Linked DNA regions of Oryzias latipes. The protein of the gene in region 2 binds, or shares a complex with, the protein of the main gene of each other region. Links are inferred from orthologs where the notes say so. Each region holds a gene or a part of one and is shown on either strand. Other genes may lie near its edges.

Region 1 (3,818 bases), on a different chromosome or scaffold from region 2:
TTCTGAGCTCAGGAGAAAGGACAGAGCCACACTGATCACTGCAGGATTCATGCAAATCCACAGACTGATTCAACAATAGAAATCTGTCATCTGTACCTGCTTACTTACTGTGAGCTCTTCCTCCTCATCTGCTTTCCATTCACACTCCTCATCTGTGGGCTCATATGCTGCTCTCACTATGTCGCTTCTCTGTGCAGTAAAACAAAGTCTCAGCAAAATTTCCAGAAGAACATCACAGACTCTCTGAATGAGCTCATAACTGCTGTCCTGTCCCAGAGGCTCCATGCGGGAGGCTGCTGTAGACCAAAGTCCAGCAGATGCAGAGGGGACTTACTTTGTCAAACAGAGGCTGGTACAGAGCCGCATATTTTCTCTCCAGTTCGTGAACTTCTTCATAGAACTTGGCCTCGATGTGAGCGCATTTGACCTGGAGGTTCTTGAGGGCATTGACGCGTCTCTTCACAACCTTTGGTAAACTGTGGAGACAGACGGAAAGGTCCTGAAGCATTCCTGTCAGTAATCCAGCATGACTCGTTCCGATTCCTCTTTAGACTTCAGGACCAAATTGCTACTCGTTTTCTGGGAAATTCTGGATTTCTTTGGAGACATTTTCAAAACCATTTTTACACTTGGAGATCACAAAGTCCTCTAATACTAACTTGAAAAACTAAACTGCCGGACCTTGAAAGTAATCAGTGACTTTGCGTCTTTTTGGTCTTCATGACACAGATTTCACTTCCAAGCCATCACCTGTCCATCTGCTTCTTCACAGGGAAGTTTTACTTGTCAGCAGGTGAATGACACTTACCTCCCTGCCAACAGTAACACAGCATAGCACAACACCAAACAGACCAGATTTTGGAGTCCGTTGGTCTACTCCTCACTACCCTCTGTTCCAAAGCTTTTCTATAAAAGACTTCAGGGATTTCAGAGGTGAAGCTCTTCCCACAGCTTTAAAGTGACAGTGTCTCTGAGGAAGGAGCAGAACATCCTCCTGAGCAGACGAGTCCTTCACTCTTCTAGTGCCAACCTTTGGTGTGGAGCTCTTAAACCAAAAAACTCTGGTTCAAAGAGGAGCGATGAAGCTCAGTAGCCATCAGCTTGTTAATCTGCTTCCAAACACTCCAGAAGCTTACCCATCAGTATCAAACATCAGAAGAAGGGAAATTGTGAAATCTGCACCATCTGACTGCATGCTGGCAGAGGCTGAACATCTTGAATTTCAGACGGCATTACAGTTCCTTCACAGAATACAAACGGAGAGCAAGGAGCTTAATTATTTTTTACTCCCGCATAATCCCAGCCCAAAAGAAAATGAAAGGAGTTCTGCAGACCAGCTGCAAAACCAAGAGTTCAAGGAAGCGACACATCTGCATGTCAGCCCGACATACAGGATTTATTTCAGACAAAGATTTTCTGATTACAAACTCAAACGAGCCTTCATAATAATTCAGTTTAGCACAGACTCGAGGAACAGCACACTTCTTAGACCTGGGACTCGACAGCGGAAGATTCCATCATCACAGACTGCTACTGAACAGAGCAGATCAGGGGAGACGCTGGAGGAAACCTTCAGAACCTGCAGCTGTCTGCGGTGTCATTTGGAAACACAGAGCTGCACAGAAAGCAGTAGGCTCCACCAGACAGAGTCTTCTTAACTGGATGAATACAGAAATTATCAGCAAAAAAGGGAGTCCAGTTTAAACCCAACTGAAGGCAAAGTCCAAACCACTTTAGCCAAGATTTTCTTTTCAGCAGAGCAAACAGGATTTTTCAATGTATCCACCAAACAAGATTCATCTACTGTGGATGCCGATATGCTGACTTTCCTCACTCACCTCTCCATGTAGCCTGATGGGGAGCCGTTCAGACCGTCCAGCCTCTCCTGTAGAGCTGCTAGGATCTGTGGGTTCTGCATCATCTGCACTGTGAGCTGACGAGCTGCAAACAGCAGAAAAGCTCCTCAGATGAATGAAACCAATGTGCAGACACGCTCAGTAGCTGCAGTTACATGTGCAAAATGTGTCTGTTAGGATCAAAGATCAGATTAATATTGAACCGTGTACATGGGCCCAGAAAAAACGTAATCAGATTATATCAAAGGTTTATATACGCCACACTTTCGGATGGGGAAAAAAAAAAAAATCATAACACGCGCAGAACCATCTAAAATACCAGAAACAGCCATAGAAGAAGAAATAGTGAATTTTGTTGTAAAAAAAACAAACAAAGCTGCAGCATAGAGGAAGATTATCTAAATGTGCTTTTATGATTGTTAAAATTATTATTAAGTGTCTGTTCGCCCATAATTTTCTAAATACGTGCGGCCAGTGCTTTATGACTAAAGAGAATCTGCCGTGTTTGATAGAAATTTAGCACAGCTGTTTATTTCAGATACAGAAGATGAGGACTTTGATGGATGACTTTTGGATGCTGATTGATGACAGAAAAAACAAAAAAGAAAAATCACAAGCAACCCAGTTTTGCTACCGCTGCCTTTTTTGTAATAGACACTTGCATACAGGAAAAAAAAACACCCATAACTGAAACTGGGCCCTTTAATCCAGTGCTGTTTTATTGTAAGGAGAAGAGTGTGTTATTGGAAATAATATGGCTTTCATTGTTTGTTTGTGTGTGTATGTCTTGGCAGGTAAGTGCATGGTGTGGCTCTTTGACCAGAGTCACATGACCAACAACCTGATGCAGATTGTGCTTCTTGGTAGGAACTGGCTGCCTTGGTCACTGCACAGATGATGAGCGCTAGTACTGTGGCAGAAATTTGAACTCATCAGCTGTCAAAGTATTGTTTACATCCGTTGCCATGTTTTTGAATGATGCGTGAATTGGTTTGTTTCAATAGTTTTGCGCATATGTGTCATGGAAACGCAGCTCATGATGCCTTCATGAAGATAATGATGTTGGTCAAAACAGAACTACAGAAGATGTGCTGCTAGCTTCATTAGTATCGTGAGCTTTAAGAGTCTCTTCCAGGACAACCCCTCAGGACCTGTGAAAGTACAAACCATCAAAGGTTCCTTTTCAAGCAGTTCTGATTCATCCTTCATTTGGATGGAGGTGCAGAGTTGACAGGCTTCTTCTATAAACAAGCCCCAGCTGGGCTCTGTGCCTTAGCACATCTGTACGGTTTCTTTATCATGCCTGACAACTTAAGGCCCGTACACACCGGGACGAATATTCGCCAGGCGTTATTCGCCAGCGTTTTTCGCCACGTTTTTTGTGTTCACACCCAGGCGATTTTCGCTGACGATGAGTGGAGTGAACATGCAATTTCATTCCCTGACATTAGATGGCGTTTAATGTAAACAGAAATACTCCTGTACACAAGGTGGCGCTGCGCAACTTTACGCTTCTTAAAGTCGCTTTTCACTCAGAAGAAGAGAGCAAGTATTTACACGCTTGTCAGAATAATACAAAGAAAACATGAATATTTCAAGCATCAGTAGCTCCAACTGGTGCTTGGTTCGGGGATATTTTAGAATGTCCGTCATTATTTCTTCGCGGCAGTGTAGACGCTACTTGGCGTCTATCTTCTTCGCTGGTATGTGTGCTCAGCAAGGCAGTTTTGTGTTTGAGCGCCCCCAAGTTGTGTTTTACTGTAACTTCAGAAGCTCCAGACACGTGAGCAAAAGCGCCGTTCTCATTGGTCGAGTAGATTTCGACGCGACGCGTCGAAAAAAAAAAACGAACCCGAGGCGTTTTTTTTTTTTGACGCTTTAACGCCTGGCGTTTTTTCGCGTCGGTGTGCACACTCTCATTGGTGCCCTTTGTTTAGTCACGAGGCGTTAAACGTCGGCGAA
Region 2 (3,818 bases):
ACCCAGATGTGCTGCAGCTCTTTGCTGTTGACTGGATACAGGATGCAGCTCGTGCCCACCAGTTTGACCGCACACTCGATGTCGATGTTGGTCACGATGCCGCACTGGTTGTCCTGTGGAGCAACACAGACACACGTCAACACAGAAACATGTATAACAGTTCGATCCCAAAACACAGAATAGAGGAGGCTTTCCTTCACAGAACGACAGGAAAATGAAGCTCAAATTGCTCCTAACCTCCCAGAAAAAAAACGTTTTTTCCTCTGATTGGTCCACTGATTAGGCCCCACCCACTTATTCACCTGGTAAACGTGTATAACAGGCATTTATTAAAACCTAAAGACTAAATAATAGCAATGAACTAGAACAAAACAAAGTTTTAGATGCCACATCTTCAAGGACTTTCACTTAGACTGCTTATTGTCTTTATATAAAAAACTATTAAAACTAGAGAAGAACAGGAGAAAAGAAGATCAGGAGAGATGGCACTTACATTGGAATTATTCCGCCTCACGATGTCTCTGATGACGAGTGACCGATCCTCCAGTTTCAGCTGGAAAACATGAAACACAGACATGAACGAAGCTGGAAGATTCGGGTTTTCCTCCACAGTTCAACAGCTTCATCTCCTTACAAAAGAGGAAGATGTTTAATCAACACTGACGAGTCGATAAACATCTTTTTTTCCCCCCCTTTCTTTTTAATTATTCATCACGTCATTGAAATGAGAATCTTTCTGTGAAACGGAGCATTTTTCAGCTGCAGCAGAAGCTGGAGGACAGAAACCAGAAGATGTTGGCCTAAACTCGGCTCCCAGGAGGACGGCCGGGCCGGTTCCCCTGAACCGGATGCTGCTGACATAAAAAAACCAACTCAAATGATGAGTTCTGGACCACTGACCAGCAAAATGCTGAACATCCGACCTTTAAGGCGTCTTCAGAGCCTGAAACCCTGGAACAGTCGGGCTTTTATAAAAGAGATAAAGTACCCATGAAGACTTTCTCACAATATGTTTTTTTAGGAGAAAAAAGGAGGTTCCTCTATGTACCACATAGAGCCTTCAAGTAGAACCTTTCCCTCTTAAAATCCATGTTTAAAAGCGACAAAACTGATAAATAGCTCTGGCCGTTCGTGAAGCTCCGTCGACCCGTTTTAGATCTGAATAGAAAGAGTTTAAGGGATTAAAGCTAAACTGCTGTTAAAATAAAACGATGTAATGAATCCAAACAAAGTGTGAACAAAAGGCAATTAACCCGTGTGCTATCCTATGGGGTCAAGATGACCATTGACGTGTTCTCCCTACCATGACAAAGGTGGAAAGATTTCATGTAATCCATGGACACCCATCTAGTGGGTCTAGATGACCCAACTCCCAATGTTAAAGTGCCTAGGATAGCACAAGGGTTAAAGGAGTAAAACTGTGTGTTTTTGTTTAATTAATGCTGTGAAGCGGATCAGAGAAAAGACAAAAAAGGTGAGACGCTGCAGCAAAAAAAAAAAAAAAGTCAGGCATTCACCTGGTTTTAGGCCTGCACAATACACCGCAAATTTATCGTTATCGCAATATCCAGCCATGCAATACGCATATCGCAAAAGACAGTGAAAATCGCAATAAATCGTAAACCTTAAATGTGTTAACACAACCTTATGGCAGCTTGAAGCATTTAACGAATCAAATAAATCCCTTTATGCATTTGACCAATCAGATGGAGGCCTATTATGTTAGATGTTTGTCTCCTATGTTGACGTCATTTGGAGTATAATTTTTAAACTGTTGCAATGAAATGGAAATTATGATTTTGGTTATATTGTTATTTGTTTATACAGTAAACCGCAAATTATACCGTTATCGCAATATTAATCTGTAATATCGCATATCGCGATTTTTCTTCATATCGTGAAGCCCTACCTGGTTTAAAATCTTTCTACCAAAGTGATGGACGAAAAATGTTGATCTTTTGAAGTATATTCCAACAAAAGCTGACAAAAACACATACTTTGGTTTTAACCAAAACTTCAAGAAAATTAAACTTTTTGTGTCTTCTTCCAAGTTAACACACAAAAAAATCCTTCATTATTAGAAGTTAAACCAGCCAAAGTTCATGTAGATCTCCTCTGTTTTTTTCTTTGGTACTTTCTGAACAGAAAAGCTTCTATTCTTGCCAGAGTCTGTTAAATCCTGCAGTCATGGTCTTTCCAATGGTCAGACGGTTCGATTCCGAATGCATCCCTCTCTTTTGGTTACAGTTTTTCACGACAGGGAGCTTCAGCAGGGATGTCAAAGTCGACTTTAACGCCCACCGCGGCCGCCTGCTGCACACAGAGACGCCGTGGATCTGGATGGCGAGCAACAGGAAGACAACTACAGACGAAAAGCATCCCTTTGTTTCTCCATGCTCACTTCAGGCTCCATGAAGCCTCCAAACTCTCTGCACCGCTGCTGCACAGAGGTTCATAAATCTCTGCATGCCAGCTGCAGAGATTTATGAACCTCTTCAAAACCACAGTTTCTGACACACGGACGCCTTCAACGCCACTTTGAACAAGCCAAACATGCAACGTTTATGCCGATAACTAACCAACACGTCACGCCAACCGTTGCTATGGCTCTCACACAGCGTACAGGGAGGGGGTCTAACGGCAGCGGGGGCGTCCGACCTTGGCCGCTCCTCTGTGAAGAAGAGCCCGGATTGATTCCACAAAATCGATGGAGGACAGTGTTTGCTTTGACATCCAGGCCCAATTAACAAGTTTTAATTCAGGAGCAGCACCAACGAGGAAGAGGAACCGAGAGCTGCAGCATGAAGCCACGCCTCTTTGCACGGCTCCACATTTGTGTTTACCTTAAAAAAAAAAACACAGATCTGAGGGTAAAAACCAGCAGGTGAGGATACACAATTAACACATCACACACACACTCCTGATTACAAACACAAAGAAGGAAACTCCACCCACAGAGACAGCAGGAACCAATCATTCCTTAATTATCAGAACTCCTCTTTCTGCTCGCCATGATTCTGTTCCGTCAATCTCGTGTTGTTGTTGGTCAACAAACCCTGAAGTGTAATGTTACTGCTGCTCATGTGACCGATCAGAGGACCAATCAGAGGAGCCGGGCCTCCTGCATGTTAGCGATCAAGAGTGACGTCATCCATAGAAAATTGCCTTCTTCCAGCTCCAACCAAATTTCACAAAACGGACATGTTGGAGCCAGACGACGTCGGTAAGCCGTGATTGGTCCGAGTCAGTGTTTCTATGGCAACCACTCTCGCCAATCAGGAGTGAGCTTGTTAGAAGGCCACGTCCCTACCACTTTAAAGCAGGCAGCACAAATTCTATCCAGCGTTTTTGAGCGTCGGACAAAGAGGGGCAGCAGGCTCCACCCCCTTTAAGTAAGGCATCTGATTGGTCAGATTATAGCTTCGCTAAAAAATAATTAAAAAAATCTGGATTGATGACAATTTTTGAAGATGTGGTCACAATGGATATTCAGTTTTAATCATTTACAACAAATGGAGATGATGGATATATCTCTATATATCTCTATCTATCTATCTATCTATATATATATATATATATAGATATAGATATATTTATAGATAGATATATCTATAGATATATATATATAGATATATATTTTACTTCCCTCCCTCCCTAATAAAGCATCCACTGTTCCTTGTTTTGTGTCTTGCTAGACAATAAGTTATGTTATTGAAAAAGAAAAGAATTGCTGAGAATGGACATATGAGTCAGGGGTCCAAAATTGGCCTCAAGTGAATTTAAATGTTTTACAACTTTTTCAATGCTCATAAATAAAA

What was found.
Region 1: the proteins of ube2o (region 2) and nap1l1 are in contact, whole or in part, in a cryo-EM structure (PDB 7UN6), measured with the Homo sapiens proteins. The link is inferred for Oryzias latipes from reciprocal best matches to the Homo sapiens genes UBE2O and NAP1L1. Residues at the interface, in NP_071349.3 of Homo sapiens: Ser225, Asn226, Val282, Lys283, Pro284, Val285, Lys289, Ser290, Lys291, Phe292, Arg293; in NP_001317160.1 of Homo sapiens: Arg333, Arg337, Thr343, Gly344, Glu345, Ala346, Ile347, Asp349.

Annotation. Positions count from the first base shown.
Region 1 is NC_019881.2:10,002,047-10,005,864, forward strand, and holds part of nap1l1 (nucleosome assembly protein 1-like 1), read right to left. Parts: intron 1,942-3,818; coding exon 1,839-1,941; intron 477-1,838; coding exon 335-476; intron 190-334; coding exon 97-189; intron 1-96. UniProt on the Homo sapiens protein: Histone chaperone that plays a role in the nuclear import of H2A-H2B and nucleosome assembly.
Region 2 is NC_019859.2:3,061,322-3,065,139, forward strand, and holds part of ube2o ((E3-independent) E2 ubiquitin-conjugating enzyme), read right to left. Parts: intron 554-3,818; coding exon 494-553; intron 114-493; coding exon 3-113; intron 1-2. UniProt on the Homo sapiens protein: E2/E3 hybrid ubiquitin-protein ligase that displays both E2 and E3 ligase activities and mediates monoubiquitination of target proteins. Negatively regulates TRAF6-mediated NF-kappa-B activation independently of its E2 activity.